2 linked regions of the Mytilus edulis genome follow. The protein of the gene in region 1 interacts with the protein of each later gene in a pairwise test. Links are inferred from orthologs where the notes say so. Each region holds a gene or a part of one and is shown on either strand. Other genes may lie near its edges.

Region 1 (15,504 bases):
ATCTAATTGATTGGTGTATATAATTCCCTATATTTTTTATTGATTGTTTCAAACTATTGATTAAAGTTGCTTAACTCTGGGACTACATTTGTATTATACTAATTTCAATATATTAAGGCCCAGCTTAATAACTTTTATATTTTTTTATGAGAAACACTGAATTTCATACACAAGATAATTTTTAATTAAATTGTAATAATGATATATTATAATTTCTTTACATTTTTTAAAATAATTGGTTTTTTTTAGTGCTAGATATTTAGTTGGAATAAGTTTCTCACAAGAACCTTAGTAAAACTTAAACAACTTTTAATTTCAAATGTTACTTTAATTGTATTTTTTTTAACTCAGATATGAATTGAACAATATAAAAAGAACATTATTTACATATGACCCTTCATACTATTGTAAAATCCAAACATTGTAGCGCACCCCGCAAATGAGCATTTCTCTTTCAAATCTCACCACTTCTCCCTATCAGTTTCAAAAAGAGAAGTCACTTCTCCCTATAATTCTGAAGTAGTGTGAGCCCTGAATCGACACCTGATATAGTCAATTCCTCACCCATGTTAAATATATATTTAAACAGTATTTTAAGCAAAAAGAGTAAAAATAGGTAAGGGGTTGCCAGAATTTTTTTTCAGTATTTAAGCAAAAAGAGTTAAATACTTACTTTCACATTTTTGGGTGTTCATTGTACATTTTGTATATATTTATTTTTCTCAACTAAATGACATTTTTGGTGTATTTTTAAAGGGATAATTCGCGATTTTTTACTTATTAGCTAATTATGTTCATAATACCATAAAAAACATATTCACCAAGTTTTATCTGGATATGAACAGCAATAAAGGAGAAAATTAAGAATTATTTATTTTATTTCTTCGAACTTCCTGACTTATATGACGTAGTTTAAGTCTTTAAGCATGCCGGGAGTGAAAATAATCTCATTTTAAATCTTAATCGTGAATCATCTTATAACGCTATTTAAAGCGCATCGACGACGTTTGGTGTAGCTATTAACCAACTAATAATTAAGATGGAACAGCGCTCCGCTTGAAATTAGAATGTACGATTTATATTTTAATATTTTCTGAAATGATTATAGTGATACAAGTTAATCATATAAAATATTTTTTATGATTTTTTTTTTCGACGGATATTTTGAACAAACATATATAACTGATAGTGTTTTAAAAATGCATGTTTGTACTTTTTACCTTTTACGTCAGTCTAGTAAATATGTGCTGCTAGTACATTTGTAATGTGCAAATACGGCCCCGCAAATACAATGTGTATTGTACTTTGACACATAGTGACTACCTGTTAAATGCGTGGGTAAATTCAAGTTAATTAAAAGATTAGCATTTTGTATCTTTTGATCTTTACTCAGTGAATTTAAGCCGTCACGGTTCACTTTTCTAGGTGTGAACAACATTTCGTATGAATGATAAACAGGGGAATCTTAATATTTTCCATGAGCTCAGGTTAATAAAATATATTATTGACGCTGAATATTTTTTGTTAAAAAAAAGAAATACTGAATTAATTTAATTGAATGAATTTATGAATAATGATGTCCTTATAAACACGAGTAAATGAATTAAAATTTTTAAATAAGAATCGGTGACCTTGAATTTTTGAAATAGATAGTAATTACCAATTGCAGTTATATAAATGGGTCGTTCAAAGCGTTTTTCTTTTTTTTTTTAAATATTCAGGAAGTTATGTCCTTATCAAAATAATTTAATTATCACCACGTTCTAATTCCTCAGCTATTTGAACGAAAATATCATAAAATATAATTATGGTAGGTATTAACCTTAGTCATTCATAAAAGATTCAAATCATACCATTGTCATATGATAGGGCTCTCAAAAGAAAAAGCACTGATGGATTGTCCTAGAAGCATATTTTATGAGAAAAATAATGGTCTATAAGCAGTTACATTTATTTCATGTTTGAAGCGGTGCAAATTTTTTAATTTAATTTGACTTTTACCAAGAAATGCCTTGTAGCAACGGGGAAGAGTAAGTCTAATGTCAGAAAATCGAAATAATGTAATTTAACAGTAAGGAAACAAATAACGGACTTTGGCAAAAAGGAAGAACGCTTTTGATATATATCCTTTTCTCATTACATCAAATCTTTTTTCAATAAATCATCCTACAACAGCTTAAAAGCTGGAAATGCCACCGATTTCGTGGGTGTGTTTTAGTGTTGTAAAAATCTTATATTGAAAAAATGACAACTCCTTTGAATAATTGAATGTACATGTACAGAAAGACAATCGAATGCCGTTTCTAGAGACAACCACGAACTAAGTATCAACTTCGTGTCATAATTGCACATGCTTGTCTCTTCACATACAAGTAAACGCAAATTTCCTAATAGCAAGTTATTTCGTAATTGCGCCCGCTCATATCGGAAATAGGACAAGAAAGTATAAGATAGTCATCCATAATGGTCGGTTAAATTCTCTACGATTTAATCAAAACAATGTGGTAAAATGATGCAGTTTTTTTTTCTTAAATTATTCATCACAACTCAAGACCATAACTTAAATTTAACATTTGATAAGCAAATAAAACAAGCTGACAAAACATAATGAAAGTTATTGTGTACAAAAGCATTGGCGGATCCAGGGGGGGGGGGGGGGGGTTCGGGGGTTGGAACCCCCTTTTTTTGGCCGATCAATGCATTTGTAGTCAGACATATAGTTGGAACCCTCCTTTTTAATATGACTGGATCCATCCCGAAAAGTAAATCCCTTGTACAATTGAAATTTCAAAAAAAAATCATTTTACATGGTACGTGTACACAAGGAATTGTATATTTAAATATCCTTGGTGTACAGTACTAGATAATCTTCAACATATTAATTTTGAAACCGAAGTCAAAATTAATAATTTACGGTGTTATTATTTCTGTCTTTGCACATGTCAGAATTAATCAGCATGTGGATATAAATTTTAAACTCTTAATTTCATATTTGGACGGATTTGTGTATTTCAATCAGATTAGGGGCATACATTGTTAACAGGATGTATAATACACCTGACTGCATTTTTGATGGCACTTTTACCTGTGCACACCTGGGTCAAACAGCTAGGTCCGGAATTGCGTAATGTCACCAGTTTATTACCCCGCAGGAAGTCACTAGAATACCTGAATGTGACACTATTACACGACCTCTGGCAATAATTCAAAAGATCGTCGGTTTTCATATTAGAGTTAAGTACCCGAAATGAATAAAATCTATTACAGATAAAAGACTTTTTTTGGCATAGTATTTCGAAAAGTTGAAAGACGCTACAGATACCTTTTAATCTCATTAGAATAATTTTATGCTTTTACAACTTCCAAATTAGTGTCCACCCTACTAGATGTATTCCTATCATAAATTTAGGAAGAAAAATTACTCCTGCGATTGACCATAAATCATTACAAATTTCGTTAGGCTAGCTGTCGACATTTTATATCCCGAAACTGCTTAGCCTTAACTTGTAGGACCACGCAACTGGGTTGACCTAGTAGACAGATAAAAAACATAACAAGGGGGCGGTAAGATCTATTAAGTTAAGGGGAGGGGGGGGGGGGGGGGGGGGGGTTAAACAGCATCTATACTACATGTAAATAAAGTCTTATTTTTAAACCATTATTATATTAAACAAATGAACCTTTAAATGTTTTACGTAATTTTTAATTTTTTATGTACACATAAAATTAGTGCACCTAAAAAAAATATACTTCATTGAACTGGTGAATTTACGACAGAAAGTCACAAAACAAAACGTCATAATTCAGTTTCGAGTTTATTTTTCTTTAAACGAGAAAACGTATAAATTAAATAATTCTTTTTTGGTTTGTTCTTGAAATATTATTTTTAAAGCAAGTTTTAAACAGAAATTATTAAATTAATATAAATGACATCACATTATTGTTATAAAATCAAAATGCCAAAGTGGCTAGGTACCTTTTATGGCTTCATTGTGCCAAGAAATATATCCCCTTTCATGATTGAAATCAAATATCTTTTTATTTTTAAGGCTTATAAACAAGTTCATAAACTTAAAATTGAATAAATGTAATAACTAATATAATATTTGAAGATTTTTTTCTTGTTTATATTCAAAAATTATCAACAAATTTGTTGTGACTTTTTGTCTGTGACTTTTTATCCGTTTACTAAACTTGTAAACAACAAAATCTGTAACTAATGCATGAATGCCGAAATACTGAACTACATTAATCTGACAATATCTTTCAACCAGGCTTGGAACGAAATAGCAATAAAAACATTCATGAGAAAAAAATCATAATTACTATCAAATTTCCAACGAAACAAGATGCTTCAAAATGGTCTGCACACACTTTCTTGAACTTGTGAGTGAAGGTGGTTGGTGTTAAATTAAGGTTAATCATCCACGTCTGGTACAACTCTTTCTTTTTTGCAGGATCTGGGAAAGTGTGTAAGCTTATGCCATGGGAACTCCGAGTTGTACATTCGTACGCTTGACAAGTCATTTTGATACTGAATATACGATATGCCATGCTTGTTTTTTCGCTTTGTGGTATTCAGATATTTTATTCAAATATACTCACCACGTGACTATTTGTATCGGAGATGCCGTCAAAATGGCGATAAGTCGAGAAGTGATAGTGGGATTTTAATTTTTATTTTAATCACTTATCTAGAAGAATTGAACAATAATTTTAACAAATCTATGATTATTTATATCAAATAAACATAATATAAAATTTTCATTTTTTTGCGAAGTTTCCCTTTAATGATATATATATGAGTAGTCAAAATAATTATTACGTCTGGCAAGGCTTTTTTAATTTTATTCTGGGACACCTTTCTATGACCGCAAGGCTATGTTAATTTTTTTCTGGGACGCCTTCCTAAGAAAGCTTTCCTACGAACTTCGTAGGAAGACGTCACAGAATAAAAAAAATAGCCTTGCCAGACGTCATAATTATTTGGACTAATACATGAGATATTGGATATTTTTATGCATTATTTAAACCAGTCACAGGGGCTTGTTTAGTGGGTCAGACGAGGTTTTACTGTCAATGGCGATCGCTATCCTGATCGCCATTGACAGTAAAACCTCGTCTGACCCACTAAACAAGCCCCTGTGAACCAGTTGAGCATTTTACAGGATTGTTTGTTTAATGCTTTTTAAACTTTACTGAAAAAAAAACACCTTAAATTTGCTTAAATTATTTGGCATGAATGTTTGATTTATTGAAAGGGACTCATAGTTTTCCATTTTTTTTTAATAATTGTCTAATTGTTAAAACAACAGCTTGGGTAAGGGCTTCGTTGTTTACCTTTATACACAACAACATAATTTCACTTTGGTTTCGTTGCTTACCTATAAACACAACAACATATTCACTATGTACTTGGTAACAGTTATTAATTAATTGAATAGAAAATATTATAACAAATATTATTGGATGCCGAATTGACGTCAAATAGGTGCCGATTTGACTAGATGCCAATTTAACCAGGTTCCGACTTGACTTGTACGTTTCAATTCCTCTGCGATCGTTTGCGGTATTTTCTTGAGAAAAACCTATTTTCCATCATCAAAGAGAAGAAGAAACTGCTTGAAAATGATTCTGGAACGCTTCATGATTGTTAAAATAAGTTAAATTCACTCAAAAAACAATTTTAAAACTTGCGATGTTTAAACAGGAAGTTTCAAAAGCACGTGTAAAAAAAGAAATTAACCGGTGAGAGTGGAAATCCGTACATAACAGATATCACTATAGTACGACTTTGAAAGCAAAACAGTTCCATCCTTTTGTAAAACAGTCTTTAATATACCTATCACATTAATGTTTGAAGGGTCTTAAGCTTATTCAAACCATAAAAGTCGGTATGAAACACCAAAACGGAATGAACAATAACCGATTACGTTTTGTAGTTTACAAATTCTAAACTGGTTCCCGTCAAACTACAACACTTTGTCCAAGTGTAGTGAATACAAGCAGAAACCAGTTAGTTTGTAAACTGGTTCCTGGCTGATTACTACACAATGACCTCTCATGCATAATTAATGATAACACAAGCAGATTCCAGTTTGTATAGAAAATAGTAAATACGAAACCAAGCGCGGTAGGCAGAGAAATGTAATGAAGTTCAGGTCACCAGTTATGGAACAATGACTGCGTCATTTTCCAAAAAACTGTACGTTGATCAAATAATGTCAATAAACATTCCCCTGTTAGTTTAAACAATATTCATTCAGATAAGTCAACATTAAACGATATTGTACAATGAAATAATAGTAAGGATTCAGAAACAAGCAAGTTGCTTTTACAAATCTGTCTGCTCTTTGGTCAGGTTGTTGCCTCTTTGACACATTCCCCATTTACATTCTCAATTTTATGATGTAGTCAATCCTTAAAGTCATAATATAGCATTTATTTATAATTTTAAATACACATAATGGTTGTCAGATTGGTGTTTTTAAAAGGCAATTTCAACAAAATCATGACTTGTGCTATTTCTTCAATCTTGGTGGTTGGTTTTTTAATATCAGTGGAGGTAGACGCCCAGAGAGAAGGACTAACCTGCCGTACATTAGGGAAAACTGACAATTAAATAGTCAATAAAGATTGGAGTCAAGTGCACCTGCCACTGAAAGGATTTTATCTCACAAAGTCAAGAGTTGACACATTGACAGGCAAAAAATGGATTCTAGTCAAATCGGCAGCTGAAAGAGTCAAACAGGCTGCTAGTCAAATAGGCACCTGGTTAAATCGTAACTGATGAAGTCATTTTGACACCCATGGTAAATGTGTTGAATATACATGTATATATATATGTATTTTTCCACATTTTCAATAGTGTATTCAAGGTATTACTATTTGTTTCATATGCTTTTTTTAAGCAGTTGAGTACTTTGCAAGATTGTGGATTTAATGCTGTTAAAAGTTTAACTTGGGAAATTTCTCAAGATTAAACAACAGCTTGGGTAATTGACATCAGAGTAGTTTGGACTGTTCTGTTCTGTTCTGTTTTTGTAGTATTCCTCCACTATCTTGGAGAACCGTTGTTTATACAACGTAATAAGTCCACTACTGTTCTTCAATTTTGGACTGAAACACCACCTAATCGTCTGGGGAGCTACTTATTATTAAAATAAGATATAGATCCTAGAATTAAAATTATTATTATTTTAATTCCTCTAATGAGATCATTAATCCTCCGTCACTTTCACGGTTATCATATTGGACTACTAAATCATGTAGTCCAAATAATTATGACGTCTTGAAAGGCTATTATATTTTTTTTTTTCTTTGACGCCTTACTTCGACGTCGAAGTAAGGCGTCAAAGAAAAAAAAATTTGATAGCCTTTCAAGACGTCATAATAATTTATTTGGACTACTAAATCATGGTGTTTTCATTTTCATTTCGTCCTCTTTCACAGGTCGCACATGCCCCATGTTAATTTAACAGAATAATTTAAACTGATATATTGAAGAACCCGAGAATATTACCTTAAAAAGTCCTCGGGTTTTGAAGTCAATGATGAAAACTCTTTCAATGCAGTGGTCAAACTTCTGTGATCCATGCTGCCTTTGCATTCGGAACTCGATACTTCCGAATGTACACAAATTATCTCCCCTTTTGCGAAAAAACCGAGGTCAAAATCTAGACCGAAGCCGAAGCCTTGATCAAAGGTTGTAAATTGTACGTTAATAAGGTACCGATTTTCCATTTTCTAAGTTCACCTGGTCCATAAAACTGTGTAAGACATTGACATCACTTGGCGTCCGTCGTCTTTTGGTGTTGCCAGTGTTGGTTAACACAACATTTTCATTTTATGGTAGAGCTGTTTAAATTTATGACAGAATTAGCAATAACATGAAACACTGGCTCCGGTTACATGAAAATGTAACAATAAAAAAAAAAAAATATAGTACGTTGGAGACTAATTGCTGGAATATAGGGTTTGGTAAGGATCCGATCAATTACGAATTTTAACAATAATATTTGTGTCTACGGTTACATTATGTTATACACCTTATCGCTAATCCTGGCTGACAGGGCCGCTTGAACTTTTTTTTTGCCAATGCAGTATATAAAAAAATTATACAGTCAAGCAAAAACTCCATATACCTGATTATAATCAAATTCCTGAGGGCAGGATGGAATTAAACAATTCTATCATGCTTACAAGGGGAATTTGCCAAAATAGCAATGGCTATATCGATCAGAAAATATTGCACATCTTTATAACTTTTTTATTCTTAATTGCAGGAACAAAACATAACCTTTGCCAGGTTATTGAACCTTAAATGCTACCATTGCAACTGCCAATGAACATGATGAAACACTTATCTTCTATTGTAGATATATCCACCTAAGTGTATTTCAGAGAGGCAGTGTTCAACATGTGTTTTTCATGGATGCCTATAGCTGTGTTGGCTATAGCTGTCATTGCCGGTTATTTCTACTTCAACAAGCCATCAGATATCTACCTCAGTCGACCTCTCAACTCAACATATGACTATATTGTTGGTGAGTTCTTTTATCATACATATAAGAAGATGTGGTATGAGTGCCAATGAGACAACTCCCCATCACAGTCATAATTTATAAAAGTAAACCATTATAGGTCAAAGAAAAGTCATCAACACAGGCCTTAGATCACACCGAACAGCAAACTATAAGGGCCCTTAAAAATTACTAGTGTAAAACCATTCAAGCAGGAAAACCAACGGTATATTCTATATAAAACCAACGGTCTATTCTATATGAAACCAACGGTCTATTCTATATGAAACCAACGGTCTATTCTATATAAAACCAACGGTCTATTCTATATGAAACCAACGGTCTATTCTATATAAAACCAACGGTCTATTCTATATGAAACCAACGGTCTATTCTATATAAAACCAAAGGTCTATTCTATATGAAAAAAATATGAAATGGGGAACACTTATGAACCACATAATTGTATAGCAAAACAAAAGCAAACAAACTAAATGTGTATATAGGTTAATTAACTTATTTCTGTGGTCTACTCCTTAATTATCGAGATGGGTTGACATTGCCTTTTTTCTTATTGTTCATGTACCCCAGTAAAAATAAACCAGTTCTAACCAGTTGGCTAAATATTTGTTAAATCACAGGTTTACATAATTTTTATGTTTTATTTCTTGTAGCTTAATTGTCTGTTTGGAATATTTTTTCTAGGATATTTTCATAAAATATTTTGAAAAACAGATTCTACCACTTGACCTTATTATTTGAGTAAATTTTACCCTCTCCAATAACTTGAACAATCATGAATAAATACACATTATCAACAAGAAATTGTTCCAATAAAATCTGTATTTTTAAAATTGTTTAGATAAGTGTATGAGCTTACTCGTCTTATATAATGTATATTGTTTAGGAGTATGATTTGGAATGGATAGGAGAGGGCAAGATTGTGACCCTTTGCCAGTGATTTGTTGTGTTTTCCTTAATTTCATGATCATTTTGTTTCAGTTGGAGCAGGTTCTGCAGGAGCAGTGGTAGCCAATCGCCTGTCAGAAGACAAAGATAAATCGGTTTTATTAATAGAAGCAGGTGGTTCTGAATTAGGAATTCTAGAGTTTGAAATCCCAGCAGGATTTGTTGCCCTCCAGAGGAGTGATCATGATTGGGAGTATTATACAGAACCTCAAAAATATGCTGCACAGAGCATGATAGAAAAGGTAACTTGACTTGGAGTATTATAACTTAAAGACAAAAATATGCTTCACAGAGCATGAGAGAAAAGGTAACTTGACTTGGAGTATTATAACTTAAAGACAAAAATATGCTTCACAGTACATGATAGAAAAGGTAACTTGACTTGGAGTATGATAACTTAAAGACAAAAGTATGCTTCACAGAACATGAGAGGAAAGATAACTTGTATTGGAGTATGATAACTTAAAGACAGAAATAAGCTTCACAGAGCATGAGAGAAAAGGTAACTTGTATTGGAGTATGATAACTTAAAGACAAAAATATGCTTCACAGAGCATGAGAGAAAAGGTAACTATACTTGGAGTATGATAAATTAAAGACAGAAATAAGCTTCACAGAGCATGAGAGAAAAGGTAACTAGACTTGGAGTATGATAACTTAAAGACAGAAATATGCTTCACAGAGCATGAGAGAAAAGGTAACTTGACTTGGAGTATGATAACTTAAAGACAAAAATAAGCTTCACAGAGCATGAGAGAAAAGGTAACTTGACTTGGAGTATGATAACTTAAAGACAAAAATAAGCTTCACAGAGCATGACAGAAAAGGTAACTAGACTTGGAGTATGATAATTTAAAGACAAAACTATGCTTCACAGAGCATGAGAGAAAAGGTAACTATACTTGGAGTATGATAACTTAAAGACAAAAATATGCTTCACAGAGCATGAGAGAAAAGGTAACTTGACTTGGAGTATGATAACTTAAAGACAAAAGTATGCTTCCCAGAGCATGAGAGAAAAGGTAACTTGACTTGGAGTATGATAACTTAAAGACAAAAATATGCTTCACAGAGCATGAGAGAAAAGGTAACTTGACTTGGAGTATAACTTAATGATAAAAATAAGCTTCACAGAGCATGAGAGAAAAGGTAACTATACTTGGAGTATGATAACTTAAAGACAAAAATGCTTCACAGAGCATGAGAGAAAAGGTAACTATACTTGGAGTATGATAACTTAAAGACAAAAATAAGCTTCACAGAGCATGAGAGAAAAGGTAACTTGACTTGGAGTATGATAACTTAAAGACAAAAATATGCTTCACAGAGCATGATAGAAAAGGTAACTTGACTTGAAGTATGATAACTTAAAGACAAAAATAAGCTTCACAGAGCATGAGAGAAAAGGTAACTTGACTTGGAGTATTATAACTTAAAGACAAAAATATGCTTCACAGAGCATGAGAGAAAAGGTAACTTGACTTGGAGTATGATAACTTAAAGACAAAAATATGCTTCACAGAGCATGAGAGAAAAGGTAACTATACTTGGAGTATGATAACTTAAAGACAAAAATATGCTTCACAGAGCATGATAGAAAAGGTAACTTGACTTGAAGTATGATAACTAAAAGACAAAAATAAGCTTCACAGAGCATGAGAGAAAAGGTAACTTGACTTGGAGTATGATAACTTAAAGACAAAAATATGCTTCACAGAGCATGAGAGAAAAGGTAACTATACTTGGAGTATGATAGCTTAAAGACAAAAATATGCTTCACAGAGCATGACAGAAAAGGTAACTTGACTTGGAGTATGATAACTTAAAGACAAAAATATGCTTCACAGAGCATGAGAGAAAAGGTAACTATACTTGGAGTATGATAACTTAAAGACAAAAATAAGCTTCACAGAGCATGAGAGGAAAGATAACTTGACTTGGAGTATGATAACTTAAAGACAAAAATATGCTTCACAGAGCATGAGAGAAAAGGTAACTTAACTTGGAGTATGATAACTTAAAGACAAAAATATGCTTCACAGAGCATGAGAGAAAAGGTAACTATACTTGGAGTATGATAACTTAAAGACAAAAATATGCTTCACAGAGCATGAGAGAAAAGGTAACTTGACTTGGAGTATGATAACTTAAAGACAAAAATATGCTTCACAGAGCATGAGAGAAAAGGTAACTATACTTGGAGTATGATAACTTAAAGACAAAAATATGCTTCACAGAGCATGAGAGAAAAGGTAACTTGACTTGGAGTATGATAACTTAAAGACAAAAATATGCTTCACAGAGCATGAGAGAAAAGGTAACTTGACTTGGAGTATTATAACTTAAAGACAAAAATATGCTTCACAGAGCATGAAAGAAAAGGTAACTTGACTTGGAGTATGATAACTTAAAGACAAAAATATGCTTCACAGAGCATGAGAGAAAAGGTAACTTGACTTGGAGTATTATAACTTAAAGACAAAAATATGCTTCACAAACTAAGCATAAGCACATCAATAACCAAAAAAAAATACATAATAATATTAAATCCATTTAAAAAAAATTATGTAAAAATCAAAATAAAAAAAATACAGAACTCCAAGGAAAACTCAAATCTGAAATATTACTGCCACTGGAAGAAATATTACAATATTTGCTCAGAATGAAAAAAGGTCATAAAATATTTTTTTGCTAAACAGAACTTTTATTGTTGATTCATCATTATTTGTTGGATCCCAATGTTCGTGGTTTTTGTGGGTTACAGGTGAACCATGAATTCAAATGTTCAATGAATTACTCATTTTCTATAAGCTTTGTATGCAGAGATTGGGAAAACCATGAACTCAAATAACCATGAAAATGCTGGTTTTCCTTAATCCACGAAAATTGATACCCACAAAAATAAAAAAATCCCCAGTATTATAGTATTGTTCTTAATATAATATTTCTGGAGGAAATTCTTCGGGAATCATACTTATAAGCACAAAGAGATGTAGCACAGGGCATGCAAACACTTAGATAAACCAAAAGAAGGCAAGATATGAGCAAAACTGACTTGACAAGTAGCAATGGTAAAAATACAAAAAGTTCTTCACAAAAATGGTTAAATTGATTGACATGAAGATTTATACCAACAGTGTTCTCACTAAAAACAAGTCAATCCTGAACTCATATGAATGTCTTGACTCAAAATATTACCACTCAGGTCAGTCCAAAGATGCATAAAGATTTATTCAGTCCACCTGATATAAGAAAAAGAAGATGTAATATGATCACCTATAAGACAACTCTCTACCAGAGAGACGAAAGTTCGCTTCTTATCTAACCTAAAAACTTTGCTCTAAAACCAAAATCTAAATATCATATATATTGAATTGTAACATAAATTGGATTTTTTTCCTTTGATGTTTTTATGAAATAATTTGCTTAAAAAGTGTGGTGAGGGAAAACCATGGTATATTATATGCAAATTTATGTTGTACCATACTTTGCTAATTAAATATGCAACTCGACTAGAATCCAAAGGAAAAAAGGCGGAGCTTCATCCATGGTATAACATATTCATTTTCATGTTATTCCATGGCTGAAGCTCCACCTTTTTTTTTAAATGTATCCGCCTCTAAAATATCTAGGAAGCTGTAAAACATACTAAAAGGTCAAGATCTTCATTTGTTTTCATTTTATAAGAAAAGGCAATAAATTATGTGTACCACATTTAAAGAAATCCTTTTCAAACTATATAGGATTGTTACGAATTTCCTTAATTTTGGAAACAATTACTAAATGTTTCTTCTTTCAGTTTTGAAAAAAATAAAATGTAAAACTATCATTTCCTTTGCGAAAATGCAATTAAATTTCGATTTAAAAAGGGGGGTATCTATACAAAAAGGAATAAATATCGGCTACAAATATCTGTGAAAAAACATGATAAGGGGACGTACACTATCTACGCCCCTGGATCCGCCACTGTTAAAATATTGTTTTATCATTAAAATTGTGTTTTAATAAATAATCTAATAAAATAACGGAAGAAAAGCATTTTTCAATTAGATGAAAATTCTGTAAAATATGATTAATTTGTATGATACATTGAAAAAAACAAAAAAAAACAATTCTTACCGTCATTAGAATAATTATTTAATCCTTGTGGAATCCGACATTTTTGTTTACCTCAGTCTGATGACATTATGAAATTACCTGCGCCTACAATCATACACGGGGCGCAAAACTAAATCCGACATTTTCTTTACTTTCTGCAAATTCAGGGGTTCTATTACATGAAATATACAGACGATCATACACGAAGCGCAAAAGTGACTGGCTTGCGCGAGCTTCCATTTCATTGGATAAAACTGTAACGTGATCAATTTCCAATATTAGTTGAAGGTCTTGAAGCTGTCAATCATTTTATTTATATTACAAATTTTATATACCATGTGTCTTACTCATTAACATATTTAAACAAACTCATCCTTCGGATTCGTTTGTTTAAATATGTTAACTCGTAATAACCATGGTATATATAGTACTTGGTGAAGGGAATTTAATCTGATACTGGATTTTATTCTAAATCATCAAAATTATTCCCCTAGCACCTTAATAGTAGCAGCATTATGATAAGTTCCAAATAATACTTAGACTAAGGAAATTAGTGAAAGACAATATAATCTTACATGAAATGTGGAATTGGTGGAAGGGCCAATTTATCAGTGGCTGCTAGAAATTAAGATTTTCATACCATTCAAAGTTTAATTCAGTATGAATAAATTAACATAATGATTAATATATAATGTCAAAAGGTCATACTGGCCAAGAGTATGAATAAACTAACATAATTTTTAATATATAATGTTAGAGGTCATACTGGCCAAGAGGGAAAGTACTTGGAGGAACTAGTAACCTTAACAACATGGTCTATGTCAGAGGTAGTCGCCATGACTTCGATCAGTGGGAAACAGAAGGGTGTCCTGGATGGAGTTATAAAGATGTTTTACCATATTTTATAAAAGCAGAGGACTTCCAAATGGAGGAATATGCTGATTCAGGTGAATAAAACAAAATGAATTTGAGGGAATTCTGTTCCACTAATTATGGTTTCTCAATAATTTTGTAGGATTGGTCAAAGGAATAAAATCACAAATTCATAGTTTCATTATGCCTTCTATATAAATTATGCAATTTCAAGGATTTATATAGATATAGGAAGATGTGGTATGAGTGCCAATGAGACAAATCTCCATCCAAATAACAATTTATAAAAGTAAACCATTATAGGTCAAAGTACAGCCTTCCACACAAAGCCTTGGCTCACACCAAATAGCAAGCTATAAAGAGCCCCAAAATGTGTAGTGTAAAACCATTCAAACGGGAAACCAACAGTCAAATCTATTTAAAAGAAACAAGAAACAAGAAAACTTATGAACCACATCAACAAACGACAACATCAGATGGACATTGTTATGTGACAGGTCTACAACTGTATCAATGAGTAGTATGATAATTATAATGATGTGTTCACAGGTTACCATGGTAAGGGAGGCTACCAAACTGTATCAGAAAGTCATGTGACAGAGTTAAGAGACATTTACATGGCAGCATCAGAAGAAGCAGGCTATAAAACTGTGGATTGTAATGGCAAAGATATGATTGGTAATAATTAATATTTTTTTTTTAAATATAAAACTTTAGATTCTTATTTCAGCAAATACAGTTAAACCATTCTAAACTAACCCTGTGAAGATTTTAGATTTGTTAGACACATGACTCTACAGTTGAACCTTGTTTCAAACTCAGTTGTATGGAAAAATGGTCACTGAAAATTAAGATAAGATTTAAACTGATAGTCTTTTGTTTAAAGATTTTGGCAATTTTGAAATGGGGCAGAATTATGGACCTTGAGACATCAGATGTATCTAACCTTTGACCATTTAGTTTATGAAAAGTCATTTTTTTTTTATAATTATTCATTCTAAAATATAATTCTTTTTTTAGGATTTTGTAAGATGCAGGCATC
Region 2 (16,044 bases), on another chromosome or scaffold:
ATGTTCAGTATATAAAGCAATATAGTAAGCTTTAATGTTATCCTTTTATATAACTTAATACCTTTTTCATGAATATTAAAACAGATTATTGTCTTACCCTTCTTCCAAGTCTTGTGGTAAGTTTATTAAATATGAGATGTGGATAAGCCTCTGACATAGTCCCTACGTCTGGTATGTCATGTCTCATAATAACATTGGATAACGTAAAGTATGCTGTGGGTCCATATGGCAGATGACATACTACTAAACCATCTAAATAAAAAACATAAAATGATTAATTTTTGTAAATTAAATTCCATGGTATCAATGATAAGTTATTTAGCATATATTTCATAGATATAAGAAGATTTGGTATGAGTGCCAATGAGATAACTCTCTCATGAGTCTCATCCAAGTCACAGTTTATAAAAGGAAACCATTAAAAGTCTAAGTATGGTCTTGAACTCTTCAACACGAAGCCTTTGCTCACACCATACAGCAAGCTATAAGGGGCCCCAAAAATTACTAGTCAGTAGTGTAAAACCATTCAAATGGGATTACCAATGGTCTAATCACTTATGAACCACATCAACAAAATTGCAAACGATAACTACTGAACATCGAATTTCTGACTTAGGACAGGTGCAAACAATTGTAGCGGGTTTAAACGTTTTTAATGGTACCAAACCTTCGTGCATAGTTTGTACTCATATAGTTAACATTGCAGTGAACATAGTTTATTACAACATGTGGTTTTTATTTCAAATTCTAGTAAATCATCCTTATATGAAAATTATACCATTGCAAATTTTAGCAAGTCTTAGAAGAATTAGATGAACCAAAAACTGTTCTGGGGAAGCAATTAAGACAATTACATACCAAATCACAATACTACACAACTGTCACCATGCCTTATATTTTGATAAAAAAAAAAACTCAAAACAAAAGTCATATAATAACTAGACAATCAGAAGCAAAACATTGATTATCTAAAGGGAATTAAAATTTCCAGTATACAAAAATGACAAGGAAATTTGCTTAAGTAACACTCTTAGTAATAAATGTCACAGTAAATGCTTATCTATGCATCAGAGTTTCATGCTTCAATTGATAGCAAAAAAATACATATTACTCACATGAACTTTCACTGCATCATGAACTTATCAATCAGAAAAAGAACTTTTCTCGAAACATTATAGAATTACCTGGAACTCCTCTATGTTCATGTAATATTACAAGATCTGTCACATCATTGGCTCGACATGCTTCTATTATCTGTTTTATTTCATAGTTTCCTCTGTTTATTCTTTGACTGTTTGGGAAGATCAACTTCATCTCCTGTAAAAGAAATAGAAAAAATAACATGTATAAGAAATAGAAAAAAGACTTGTAACTAAAACCAACAAAATAGTCCCCTTTGAAATATAAATAATATGGATTTTTTCAAATTTTCCAAGAATGTGAGGCTTTTTCTTGCTACTCCTTACTAACCAGGTGCTCCGCAGGGCGCAGTTTTATATGACCACAGTGGTCGAAACCCTGAACAGTTGGGGAAAGTATGGACACAACATTCAAGCTTGATACAGCTCTCTGCATTTGGATTGTGATAAAATTTTTGACATAATTTGAGTTTCTGACACAAAACAAATGTCAATTTCTTACAAATCTATTGCGCAATATTGCGCATTTAAAGATTTCTTCTTTAAACTTTTCACAAATTTGGAAAAAAAAATGAAAACTACTACCACCCCCCTTTTTTGGCAATTAGTCCAAAACCTGACATTTCTTTATACATAATTTACAAGAAGTGTAAGGGAGGTTAATCTGAACATACCCAACATTGTATTGTTTTTTTAGTTACCTTCCTTACACAGCTTTTAAATTGTCTTAATTGTCCATTGACCAAAAACCTATTTTTTCCCCTTTTTTTGCCCCTAATTCCTAAACATTTTGAGCGATAACCCCCAAAAGTCAATACTAACCATCCCATCATGGTATGGGAACTTGTGATATGATTTCAGAGAGATTCGTACACTTAAGCACAAGTTATTGTTTGATAAATACAAAAATGCTCATTTTGGAGCCCCTTTTTGGTCCCTAATTCTTAAACTTTTGGAGCCATAACCCCCCCCCCCCCCCCCCCCAAAGTCAATACTAACCATCCCTCCATGGTAAGGAAACTTTTGGTATGATTTCAGAGAGATTCATACACTTAAACACAAGTTATTGTTTGAAAAATTCAAAAATGCTTATTTTGGGCCCCCTTTTTGGCCCCTAATTCCTAAACATTTTGAGCCATAACCCCCCAAAGTTAATACTAACCATCCCTACATGGTATTAAAACTTGTGGTATGATTTCAGAGAGATTCATACACTTAAACACAAGTTATTGTTTGAAAACTACAAAAGTGCTTGTTTTGGGCCCCCTTTTTGGCCCCTAATTCCTAAACCTTTGGGACCATAACCCCCAAAATCAATCCAATCATTTTAACTGTTGTATTAAACATTGTGGTACAATTTCAGAGCAATTGAAATACTTTTACACAAGTTGATATCCTGAAAAAAGAAAAATACTTCTTTTGGGCCCCTTTTGGGCCCCTAATTCCAAAACAGTTCGGACCAATATCCCCAAAATCAATCCCAACCTTCCTTTTGAGGTATTAAACCTTTTTATAAAATTTCATAGAGATCCATTCACTTAAACAACCTAAAGTTATAGTCCGGACACCAAATGTGTATTCGGACTACACAGACGACGACGACAAGGTTTGACGACGACATCATACCATTATACGAACGCAAAAATGTTTTGCGGTCATATAAAAACTAATGAGGGTTAGCTTCTCTCAATTAAATAAAATCCAATGGTTGATTACTTTGGTTTTAGCTGATGGTGGAGACATTTCAAATTCAAGACGCAGGAATTATAGAACTTCAAATGGAATCTTTTAAGATGATGTAAAAATTTTGTTAAACTTTTTAAATAAGTTTTTCATATTATAAAAAACAGAAAAATCAGGGTCTGAATGTTCATATATATAGAATAAGATGCTGTAATTATGATTTAGCACATGTATAAATTGTTCATTATTTTGAGTATCAAAAAATAATCCTGCATGTGGCAAGTAGCAAGTGAGCTTAACTTTCAACTGGCTATGATTGTCAGTGTTCCTACTAAAGGTAAATGGTTCTCTCATGCTTCCTTTAACAATTAAAATTGACTGCAACAAAATAGCATAATAGTGCTGAAAGTTGTGTAAACCACCAATCATAAATACATTGGGAAATTTAGGATTATTTCTTTACTTTCTTTAAATTAAAATTATAAATATATGCAATTTTTTCCTATCCATATTCATAATCAAGAGGAAAGGGTTGAAATAAAATAACAAACCTTTGCAAACTGCTTGAGTTTAGAACTAGGATCTCTGGATGTGGTGACCATGATTTTAGGATCTTCGACTCCAGCCCATTTATACTCATCATCAATGTGAGTGGTCAGACCTTATAAAAATAATACATATTTAATTTAAATCTCTAATAAAATGATAAAAGTTTTTATCTTCTTATCTTTTATACTAATTGTTGATAATCTTAAATTGGTATAAAAGTCATCCATGAGAAGACTTTTGTTTAAATTTATATTTTTTTTTTCTTCTAATATAATCTTTCGCCAAATGACTTGTAAGTACAAATGTACAATTATGTCCTATTCTAAACTGTTTCTGAAGGACAATATTTGTGTTTATTGTGTTTACAGTTAAGGTGGATTTAGGACTTTCTAACATCATCCAATAATTTAATTTTTGATGTAATACTTCTGATTGGCTGACGTTGTTTTGTTAATCATCTAATAGACATAATTTCGTCATGTAACTACGTCATCAACGTTTTTTCATCATTTACTCCTGTTTAAAATGGAATTTAGAATTAAATTATAAGAAATAACTGTAATATTTTTTCTGTTCCTTTTGAAATAAAATAACAAATGTGGTACATACTTTAAAATAACCTGCTACGCATGTTATTCAGTGTGCATTTTCTATGTGATTTCTTCATAGACAGAAAAAAATATTAGTCCTTCCTTAAATAGTCATATCTTCTAAGAAATAATTTACTTTTGTATTTCATTTTATCAGGTTTATTAAAAACAAAATGCTAAAAAATCAGATTTTCTTAATTTGTAAATATAAAATGATAATACCATCAGCCCCTTTATCATCCCAGTCCAAAGTCTTCTGAAGGTCGACAGCATCTTTCTGTAGATCAGTGGGTATCTGATTGTTATCTGCAATATAAGTGTCAAATCTCTGTAAGATGTATGATAACTAAAGTAGTAGACAAATCACTTTTCTTTTGATTGGTAATATTAAAGAAAACTTGAGGCCGATTCTTTTTTTAAGGGGGATAATTTATATCCAAGAAAACAATCACTGTGTTTTAGCATTACATGAGTATAATAACTCAGATGTTTATTTCAAAATTTCTTTAAATAACTTATAAGATTTTGTCAATCAATATTTCATTCAAACTTAGAAATAAATTTAAATTTAAGGACAACAGAATATAATTCCAGCCATTGCAATATTATTTTTGCTTAAATGAAACCATCAACATTTTTTATACTACACAGATATTTTGTCTATGCTTACCATCTAAAGCATTCTTTAATTTTTGCTTTTTCTCTAGAATTGTTCTCTCTCTATCCTCTATAGATTTTCTGTATATATACTCTCTTCTAAGTCTAGCTTGTCTTCTTAACTAAAAGATACATATAAAAATATATAAAATACAGGATCAAATTGAATTCTAAATTTACAAAAAAGTATAGTTATTTTTTTTATATCTTTTTTTTTTCTTCGGGAAACCAATGTCATTAAATTCCCTTTTCTTAGTGCCTGGATCAGCCAATTTATTTTACATGTACATGCTTTAGCTAAAAAAAAACATCATTAATTTATTTTTTCAATCTACATGTAGTAAGCCCAGACCCACATCCCAAAATCTAATTGCCCTCCACTAATTAACCAGTTAGCACTTTCATTTATACCCTTGAAATGATATAATTAATAAATTGAAGAAAATCTTAGAAAAAAAGGGAAGGAAGCCCATTTAAGGGGGTCTCATTGGGGGGGGGGGGGGGTTCTGATCCCGCTTACTGTTTAGTCAGAGATTCCTGTATCCCTCTTACACTATGTAAGTAAGCAATTCTCATTTTTTTGTAATTTCCTGTGTCCCGCTAGACTTCATTTCCCGTTTTCACGGCACAATAATTTAACTTGCACGCGTCACACATATAAAAAAAAAAGGCAATCCCACGTCACGCTTCCACCCCAATGAGACCCAATTTAAACAGTCATTTTACAGTCACTTTAAGTCATGTGACTTATTTGTATATCTTGCTTTGGGGATTATTTTTCATGTTTAAATGTATCTATTTTTTATGGTATGTTAAGTTTATCTCTTTCTACATGTACATGTTTTTTTACACGTTCTATGTTTTGTTATCAAGATATTTGTCAAACAAAAATGAGAAAAATTGACTTTTAGGGCAATAACTCCCAAAAGTATTTTGATAAGTTTGATCGAAATATGAAAGTGGTTAGATTATGACATTCTGAGGATTTTTCACTTACATTTGTACATGTATCCATCATAGTCCATCTATAAACAACTTTTTTTATTTACATATAATACAGAAGTCAAATGTATATACAAGTACATTTATTCCGAGGTTAAAGTCTTTATTACCAATGTCACCTGTTTTCCACAATATGCATTTTTTATTTTAAAACAATGTAATTGTATTTTAGGGTTTTGACTATATTTCCGGCATTCAATGTACATGTACATATCAAGGGGAATCAATGGAGAATATTTTTCTGACTGAAAAAAAGTAATAATTAAATTAAAAAACCTTTGAGAACCACTCACATATCCCACGGCCCCACATTGTCACTGGATAAACAAATCTCACCAGATTCCTAAGTTAAAATACTTATAACTCTACCATGCCTACAAATGTCAACTGATTTTTATTACCCCTTTTGCATTCTATGCCATTCTATGATGAAAGGAATGCAATTATAATTAATTTGAACCAACTGTTTACAAGTTTGATACTCTGGCATCACTCCAACACTTAGTTTGAATGACATTTTATTGAAATTTATCAGAAATTATTAGCCTTACCGGACGCAATTACGACTGGACACAATGACGAACGATTTTTAATGTTTGCCCCCTTATATTATATTTATGAATGATAATTAATAAATGTTTCTATTAATTAAAAACCCACTACATTACTTGTGTTTTCACGAAAAAAAAGTTCATGCGCACTTGGTTAATGTTACAGACGACGAAAAATTAAGTTTCGTAAATGTCAAAATAATGACTCCCTCTCTTGGAAATTACATGAATAAAGCATACAAGTTAGTGTAAATTGCCTTCTTTTGTTATTATATAGATAGAAAAATATCTCCTGAATCTGTTCATATCTGTGATACCCTTTATCTTGCCCAAATAAACAAAAAAATGAACCTTTTCTCAGACTCGGGTGACCCTGAGCATTGTCAAAAGAAAATAGTATTTTTATTGAAAAGTCCCGAGAACTCCGAAAGTAAAGGCTAAATATAAATTAAAATCATAGGTTCGCTAACTAAAAAGAGATTTCAGTGCTTCTTAGACGAAAGAACTTGCATAAAAACAAAAAATCTGAATTATTTCCTTTTCAAAGAATTTTTTTTGTCACTAATTTCGTCTTCAACTACTGCTGAAGAATTTGAAGTAAAATACCATATTACACTTCTTATTTTCTTAGGAAATGTGTTTAAGATAAGATTAATGTATGTTTTATAAATTTAGATCGTTGTCATTGATTTTTTCTGCCAGATATATAAATATTGTGCCGTTCGTAATTGCGTCCATATTGGGCTTGCTAGACCCATAAAACCAGGTCATGAAAATCTTACCAAAGTATCCCAACGTAAATAGAAAATTATGTGTGTTACAATTCAAAATGAAAAGCATTCATACATCTTTAATTCTATGGTACAAACAATTCAAGAAAAGTATTCTACATAGAAAAAAATTATTAAAGTTCAAAAATCGTTCGTAATTGTGTCCAGTGAGGCTAGTATAATAGCAAGTACTTTTTTAACACATGTCAATTTCCAATCCATATCGTGTCTTTAATAACTATAACCTGATGATGAGATCAGCTACAATTAGGTAGTGTCAAGCCCTGACAACATATATATTCCTGGTTGAGGCAAACTTTATAAGTTACAGACAAGCTTATAGACAGAGGACAAGGTTTAAACTTTTAAATGTCTCTTCTGCAACACTGACAACAGAAGTTTATAAATGATGACACAAAAGTGAAGTCATTGGTTCACCTGTTCACTAGAATCTGTTAACCAGTAAGAAAAAATTGGGGTATGAGGTTGTTGTTAGTTATAGTATATATAATTTACATGATTTACTAGTATTTAATTTCTACTTCTTGTATAAACATTAGCCTTTTCTTCTTTTCCTAGGTCACAGGGTACAAATATCAATATCTATATTCTGACTAAATGTATTGCGACATCGTGTTTGATGTCTTGGTTATCCCTTACCATTTTGACTTTCTTGTTTTTACTACATCTCTATATTAAAGATAAATACAGCAATACAAAAACACACGTGTTGAACAAACGGAAGTAAACAGACCAATGGTAAAACCAATTTATGCCATTATGATTCCGACCATATAAACATTTTTACAGTACTAAATTTTAAATACGTTTACTTATTTATCCCTCAATAAATTTTAAATATATTCCAATCCTTATCTATTTATTCAACTGTTTGATTTTGATATAGGAAAAATGAAAATAAATGATGTTCGATACTGAAGAACCATCTTTTAGCTCAGCCATATTTATCAAGGCACTTCCGGAAATATTTTTCTGAACGTTTGAAATGTGAAACACTGAAATATGGTAATTTTATCTACTGATATGTACTACAACTTTTGAAACATAACTACAAGCCGAATGTTTTCATATCTTAAACCAAAATAATGTTTAATTTAGATAATGAAAGTGTTGTGGCGTGAAATTGAAAAAGTCCCTTTTTTTTTCCTTGCTGTACATTGTATCTTATTTTAAAATTTCTAGTTACTTTGGAACCTGGTCAAATCGGCACCCAAAGTAGCTATAAATGGCACCCGATAAAGTTATTTCGGCACCCAAAATAAACAGGTTATTTGTAATTGATATACTTCTTCTTCCCGTTCTACTTAAAGTGTAATTGACTCGGGCGCATCTCAAACAGACAGGAGGGCACTCCTCTGGCCAAAAATAAAAGTCCAGGAAATAATCCTGACAGTATTTATAATAAAATATGATATTAATTACATCTATGTACACTGGTTATCCTGCTGTCTATTTCAGATGTGGCTGGGTCCAGGGGATGGTATTCACTCTGGCCCTGAAGTCCTCTAGGGATCCGTACTCCACTACAGATTCGGGGAGTTTATTCCATTCTCTAGTTGTTCTTGGAAAGAATGAGTGGTAGTATACATCCCTCTTCACTTTAGTTTGTCTAAGTTTGTGGTTGCCCCTGGTCCTACTGTCTCCTGTCGTGTAGTACTTGGCTGGATCAATGCCAATCATCTGGTGTTGGGTCTTGTAACACAGCACTATACTCTGTTTCCATCGTCTATGCTGCAGTGATTCCCATTGGAGTTGGTCCAGTAGCTTAGTTACACATCCAGGAGAGTTGTCCTGGTAGCAACTATAAACAAAGCGAGCTGCTCGTCTTTGTACCTGTTCTATGTCACGTATGGTGGTGATTTGGTGAGGATCCCATACTGGGGAGGCATATTCCAGGGTTTGTCTTACAAGGGTAGAGTAGGCTGTGGCTTTTGTTGCTGGAGTACACCTACCAAGATTTCTCCGTAAGAAGCCAAGTGTCTTTGAGGCTTTCCCTATGGTCTGGTTGATATGGGTTGTCCAGTAGAGGTCTTTGTTGATAGTGAGCCCCAGGTATTCCCGCTGTCTTTGGTCTCTAATGTGTGTCCATGGAGTGTGTAGGACATCTGGTGTTGATGACGTCGTCCTGAGTGGAAACACATTTGCAACTCCTTTTCCCATTTTTCCAGCAAGGTTAGGTCTTTTTGCAGCAAGTCTGCATCTGCTGTATTCCTAATGCGGCGGAAGAGTAGACAGTCATCAGCAAACAGTCTAGCGCTTGATGTTGTTGCTTCAGGGAGGTCATTGATGTAGGCCAGAAAGAGTAAGGGGCCCATCACAGTGCCCTGAGGTACTCCAGATACCACGTCAAGAGGGTCCGACTTATGGTTTTTCAAGGATCACAGACTGAGTTCTGTTAGACAGACACTGTTTAATCCATTCGAGCTGGGAACCTCTTACCCCGTAATAGTCCATTTTACGAAGAAGTCTGGCATGTGGTACCTTATCAAAGGCCTTGGCGAAGTCTAACAGGATGATGTCTGTCTGGTCGCCGTCCTCCATGTTCTTAGCTATTTCATGTATAGTTATTACCAGCTGAGACTCGTATGACCGTTTGGTTCTAAACCCATGTTGTTCATCGCAGAGTATGTTGTTTTGGTCAAAGTGGTCCATTATAGAACTGAGTACTATGTGCTCTAGCAGCTTACATGAGATGGACGTCAAGGAAACTGGACATGATATAAGATCATATAAGTTCAAAAGATTAAAGTGATAATTACTAGCGTCAGGAACATGCTGGTACCATCTAGAGTATACAGTTACAGTATTAACAGTATTTGTCAGCCATTTATGTATATCCCAAAGGTTTCCATTAAGGGCATATGATACAGTTTTGAACCTGTATAAAAATTTACAAGTTGATGAAAATTTGCATATAGGCTATTTTTTACCTGATTAAATCAAATTTGTCATAAAAAATATACCTTCATGTGCTATTTTTTGAGTAAAATGAGGTCGACATTTTGTATATTTGCTCAAAATTCAGATTTGTGTCCGTATTTTCTTTTTCGAAAGAACGACGTAACTTTTTTGCTTCAAAAGATAAACACAAATTGTTTTTTGTTAAATAATCGGTAATTTCTGTATTTTATAAGTATCATTGAAAATTATGCAATTTTTATTCCGAAATAACTCTATATTTATCAAATGTTCATGAATAGAGGAAAAAACGTCATTTTTTGCTGCATGTTTATCAAAATAAAAAAAATTGCGCTATTTACAGTTTTATAAAATTTGGGTCACATAATCTCCTTGCAAAATGTAACAAATTGCTGTTTTAAAAATAGGAGTCCATGCACTCGTTTTCAAATTAAATCAGTTTGAATGATAAAAATCAGTCGAAAAATGCATCTTTTCCCGATATGTCATAGTTTGACGTCGCGAAAATAACATTTTACGTTAGCAACGTCATTACCTCCCATGTAACTGTATCGTATGCCCTTAAAACTAGTGACAGTTGTCAGAAACTTGCAATAAATCTCAGGGCTGTATGTCTGAATTGATATGTTCAAATTAGAACATGAAAGAAAATTGGAATTTTAAAATAATAAATACCATATAAACATGCTTCAAATATGTTGAACACAATGATTATTTTTTCAATGTTTCTTCCCAATTCATATGTTAAAAAACAATTTTTATAATACCACAAAAAAAATTTTGAGTCGTATAATGGTATCACGTCGTCTTCGTCGTTCTCATCCAAAGATGCATTTAGTTTCCGGACAATAATTTTTTTTTAGTGAATGGATCTCTATAAATTTTTACCAGAAGGTTCAATACCACTAAAGGAAGGTTGGAATTGATTTTGGGGGTTATGGTCCCAATAATTTAGGAATTATGGGCCAAAAAGGGGGCCCAAAATAAGCATTTTTGTAGTTTTCAAACAATAACTTGTGTTTAAGTGTATGAATCTCTTTGAAATTATACCACAAGTTTCCATACCATGAAGAGATGGTTAGTATTGACTTTGGGGGTTAATGATCAATTTTTTTTTGGAATTAGGGGCAAAAGGGCCAAAAAAGGGGGAAAACTAGGTTTTTCTGGTCAAAGGACAATTAAGACAATTAAAAGCAGTGTAAGGGAGGTAATTCAAAAACATTTAATATACAATGTTGGGTATGTTCTGATTAATTACCTCCTTTCACTACTTGTAAATAATGTATAAAGAAATGTCCGGTTTTGGACTTATTGCAAAAAAAGGGGGGTGATAGCAGTTTTCATTTTTTTTCCAAATTTTTGAAAAGTTTGAAGAAGAAATCTTTTAATTGCACAATGTTGCACAATAGATTTGTAAGATCTTGACATTTTTTTTTGTGTCAGAAACTCATATTATGTCAAAAATTTGATCACAATCCAAATTCAGAGCTGTATCAAGCTTGAAAGTTGTGTCCATATTTGCCCCAACTGTTCAGGGTTCGACCTCTGTGGTCGTTTCAAGCTGTGTCCTGTGGAGCACCTGATTTTGCCATTGCCTTGGGTCCAGGCCCCATTTGAAAAGTGTAAGAAATTTCAGTGTACTGCTTTATCAAATTACTAACAAATATATACCGAGTTTTTAAAGATATACCAAATATGAACCTTAAAAATTGTAAGTTTTGCAGAAAAATACAAAAATATTTAAAACCAAAATTGACAAACTATTCTGAAATGAAAATTCCTTGCTGTAAAATTATTTCTTTAAAACTATTTTCACTTTAAAAACTGAACTGTAGTTAAACTTTATAACACTCTAAATCTAATTCTTATCTTCTATTATCAGGCTAGAAACAGTGAGAAGGCCATGTGAGTATCAAAAATGTTATTATGTCTCCATAACTACATCATTATTGGTTAGGATATATACATACATGTTATAGAAAAACAAAGTACATGGGGTATCCATCTATGACACAAAATTGATACATTTAATAACAGCAAAAAAACTCACAAAAAGCAAAAGAACAGCACTTTTATTGCTGTTCTTAGTCTGAAAGTTAAAGTGAGGTCTTCAACACAGCACAAAAAACACGCTCACCTCACTGCATTTTCAATACCGCCAGCACCAGCTTGACTTCTTTGCAAAAATAATTTTGATAGACTTGGTAAAATTTAATGTCTGTCCAAAAACCTTGTTTTGTGTAAAGTCTCTACATTTGAGTTTGTTTAATCTGAATCAATTAAAATTTATCTGTGTTCATTTGTATCTATCCAAAATAATTTACACTATATATCAATTTAGGATATATATGTTGTGTACAAGATGTAAGTTTGTACAAATTATAATTTGTACAGGGTTTTTGTACAAGTTATAAGTTTTTTTTGACACCTACCTTCTTGCAACAGGTGATACGGGTTTATCTTATAAAATGTACTAGTGTCATGTTTTAAATTTAAAAAAAATACACTTCAACCTAACATTTAGTGCTATTCTCCTTGTCTTCAATCTGGAGATGAGGATACCTGAATGGTTCAAATTCTAATTTTATTTTTTTCCTTATACCATATTCATATCCATACAAAATCTTTATGTGGTCTTGTAATGTTTTTGTATCAATGCTCAGTATTAGACTGTATCATGAAGTTGTGAAAATATGACAGAAATATGCGAAGCAAAAGACTGTGTGCTTGCATCATCAATTTTTGTTCAGCAGGTCACACTGATAACTTTTACAAAAAATCTGTACAAATTATAATTTGTACAACAAACAGGCTATTATTTGAACTTGGAATTATTTTTAATTATGGAATTTGCATAATTTCTTGTGTTTAATTTTTTTTTATAAATTCCATGTTTATTTTGTATTATGATCTTTTGAGCGGTTAATAACACTTTCCATACAATGTATTTTGGTTAGATAGTGTTGTGCGCGGCACAGTACATTCTATTGAAAATAGACTATTTTCTTTGTAATAGAAAGTGTTGTGCGCAGCACAGAACATTTCAGTACAGAATAATCATGGAATTTATTAAAAATTTCAATAACAAGAAATCAAGCAAATTCCATAGTTAAAAATAATTCCAAGTTCAAATAATAGACTGTTAACATTACAAATTGTACACAACATATACATTGCAATAAATGGTTGAAGTGGGAATTAACATCAGAAACTGAAATAATTTTAGCTGGCATTAATTGCATTATGAGTTGATAAAAAAACATACAGATATTTCTATTCCTATATACAAGTACATATGCAATTTGTTATGCATGTTAAACAGGATGTTCAACTACATGTATGTGTAAGTAAAAAAATGTTATATTATTTTGGAAGAAAAAAACTTTTTTCACCTCATGATATTTTTTTATTGTTTCAGGACCACCTTGGCCAGGTGGCGGGCTGCTCATTTAGAAGGAGGCATAAAAGATCAGGTATGATGAGCTGTATATTCTGTTGGGTTTCTTTTATTACATAAATAAATCAATATAATAGTGCATTCCACCTTATCTACCTTTTGTACATCTAACTACTGGTAATTCAGGGTAACAGTAAATAAACTATATACCCAAAAAAATTCGAGCTAGTCAATATTACAGTTTGTTAAATAGATATTTTTACAAGTGAAGGATTATTTTAAAAGTTCCAAAATTTGTCTTTTACACTCGTTCACACTTTTATCATGAGTACCTTGGTTATCAGTTTCAGTCCTAAGTTGATGTGTACATACTGATTTTACTAAACATTATTTCGTTGAGAAATTAATAGATGTGCATAGTAAGATAACATAAACTAGTAGATTGGAAATAATGAATGGAAGATAATTCATGCTGAATTTTAAATACAAACATTTATTAATCATATATAGATATAAGAAGATGTGGTATGAGAGCCAATGAGACATTCTCCATCAAAATCACAATAATGAATTTGTAAAAGTAAACCATTATAGGTCACAGTACATTCTTCAACACGGAGCTGTGGCTCACACCAAACAGCAAGCTATAAAGGGCCCCAAAAATTACTAGTATAAAACTATTAAAACGGAATTACCAACGGTCTAGTCTATATAAAAAACTAGAAATACTTATGAACCACATCAACAATTGACAATTTCATGTACTAAACATCAGATTCACATTATGAATGTTTTTCTTAATACAACTAGCATTAATGCTGTAACAATTTTATTGTCTTCAGGAGAGACGTCCATATTTAGCCACAGAATGTGATGAACTTCATAAGTGTGAAAAATGGAGAAGACAGATCATTGGAGAAGTGTCTAGGAAAGTGGCACAGATACAAAATGGTAAGATAACAACATGAATTCTAAATAGATTTCTTTTTTTATCAAATTCAAAAATGTTACCAGTGCTAGTCTATACAAAATCTATTTTTATTGAAATTCAATGAGGACTGTCAACTAAATTAGAACCAAAGTGGCATAAATCTGACGAAATTTACAATAGATGGTTTTCCTGTCGTTTAAGAAAAAGTGTATGAATGAAGAAGTGAGAATTGACACAAGATTCCTGTCCAATCATATAACATTAAAATTCAAATCAACAAGTTGAGCCAGGAGTTATTGCTTACTATTGAAACCCCTACTTTTTTTTTTGATTTTCAGGAAGTACATGTATACCTATAGATCTAGGTAAAAACTCATCACACGGTATAGATCATTACTAGATAAATCAAGCGGAAATATGTATAATGACAATATCTTCCATAGTATTTTCTAATCTTAAAGATGTTTGGTATTTTAGATATGGGATCATTGCATGATATGAATATGATAAAAAACATTCAATGTGCTTTTTGTAAATTTTTACTCTCAGTTAAATAGTTTCATACTACTAATGACTTTTTGCAGCTGGTTTAGGAGAATTCAAACTACGTGATTTAAATGATGAAATCAATAAATTATTACGAGAGAAAGGTCACTGGGAAGATAGAATCAAGGAACTTGGAGGTGCAGATTACAAAGTTAGTAATTTTTTCAGCAAAAATATGTATATTTTCTTGTAGCTCATGAAGTCTTCAGCATTTTATTTTTGACAGGAAATATCCATGAGAGTAAGTTAAATTGAAAATAGAGAATGAATTTGGATGTACATGAGACTACTCTATAACCATAATGTAATAATTTGCGAGCATTTAAAAAAAAATCTAAATTGACATAAAAAACAAAAATATTTCCTCTCACATACATTTGATTTCTTAACAAAAATCATTATCAGGGACAAAAAGTTACTCACAAATAAAGTTAGTTACATGTGGGAAAATGTATATAACCCACTTCATTGTCACATCTGCATTGGTTTTGTTTGACGGGAAAATCTCATGTAATCTTATCGTTCTTTAAATATTAATTTGTTGTGGAAAGCAAATAACTCAATTGAAAAAAAAGCAATAAGTATGTAAACTGAATAGGTATCATTATAAGAAATGATTTTGTCTTTAGCATTTTATTGTTTTGTATGCATTAAAGTTTTTTTATATGACTAATAAAACTAATAATTCTCATTTCTTATATATTTTAAAATAGAATGTTGGACCAAAAATATTAGATACAGATGGTAAAGAAGTTCCTGGAAATAAAGGCTACAAGTAAGTTGGTAGCTACTTATCTTTTCATATTCATAAAAGTAGATATTGGGTATATATTAATGAGACAGCAACTTTCCAAAACAAAATATATTTTACAATACTCAATAGATGTTTCTAAAATGGAAGTTAGTGATTTAATGGCATCCCTAGAATAATAATTACATTAGATGTATGTTTCATTATAATATTTTATTCTGATTGGCTAACTGCACATCACGTGTTATTCCGTAAGCAGTTGCAATGCTCAATACAACTTTTCACTCATGATAACACGTGCTCCAACAATAAAGTGCACAGGTGAATTAAATGATAAAATATATAAAATTCGTGTTTTCATGATCATAGCTAAAAAATGTAATTATAAGTATTGAATGCTTCTTTTTGTAACTTTATAGGGTTGTAAAAGCGTTGACCGTGCGTACATTTTTAGAATGAAACGCTTCCGCGCTTCATACAAAATGTACTTCGGTCAACGCTTTTACAACCCAATAAATTTACAAAAAAAAAGCATTCA

The links.
Region 2: the proteins of U3 small nucleolar ribonucleoprotein protein MPP10-like (region 1) and U3 small nucleolar ribonucleoprotein protein IMP4-like interact in a two-hybrid assay, tested with the Drosophila melanogaster proteins (2 studies listed by BioGRID). The link is inferred for Mytilus edulis from reciprocal best matches to the Drosophila melanogaster genes CG13097 and CG11920.

What each region holds. Positions count from the first base shown.
Region 1 is NC_092347.1:2,503,856-2,519,359, reverse strand, and holds the start of U3 small nucleolar ribonucleoprotein protein MPP10-like, read right to left. Parts: upstream 7,656-15,504; 5' UTR 7,597-7,655; coding exon 7,523-7,596; intron 1-7,522. Other genes in the region: glucose dehydrogenase [FAD, quinone]-like, read left to right, coding at 8,420-8,546, 9,525-9,733, 14,347-14,536, 15,012-15,140, 15,483-15,504.
Region 2 is NC_092344.1:30,349,682-30,365,725, reverse strand, and holds the start of U3 small nucleolar ribonucleoprotein protein IMP4-like, read right to left. Parts: upstream 7,715-16,044; 5' UTR 7,605-7,714; coding exon 7,602-7,604; intron 4,741-7,601; coding exon 4,632-4,740; intron 4,268-4,631; coding exon 4,184-4,267; intron 3,484-4,183; coding exon 3,374-3,483; intron 1,318-3,373; coding exon 1,185-1,317; intron 253-1,184; coding exon 98-252; intron 1-97. Other genes in the region: pre-mRNA-splicing factor ISY1 homolog, read left to right, coding at 7,965-7,967, 11,764-11,786, 13,300-13,354, 14,121-14,229, 14,794-14,906, 15,469-15,530.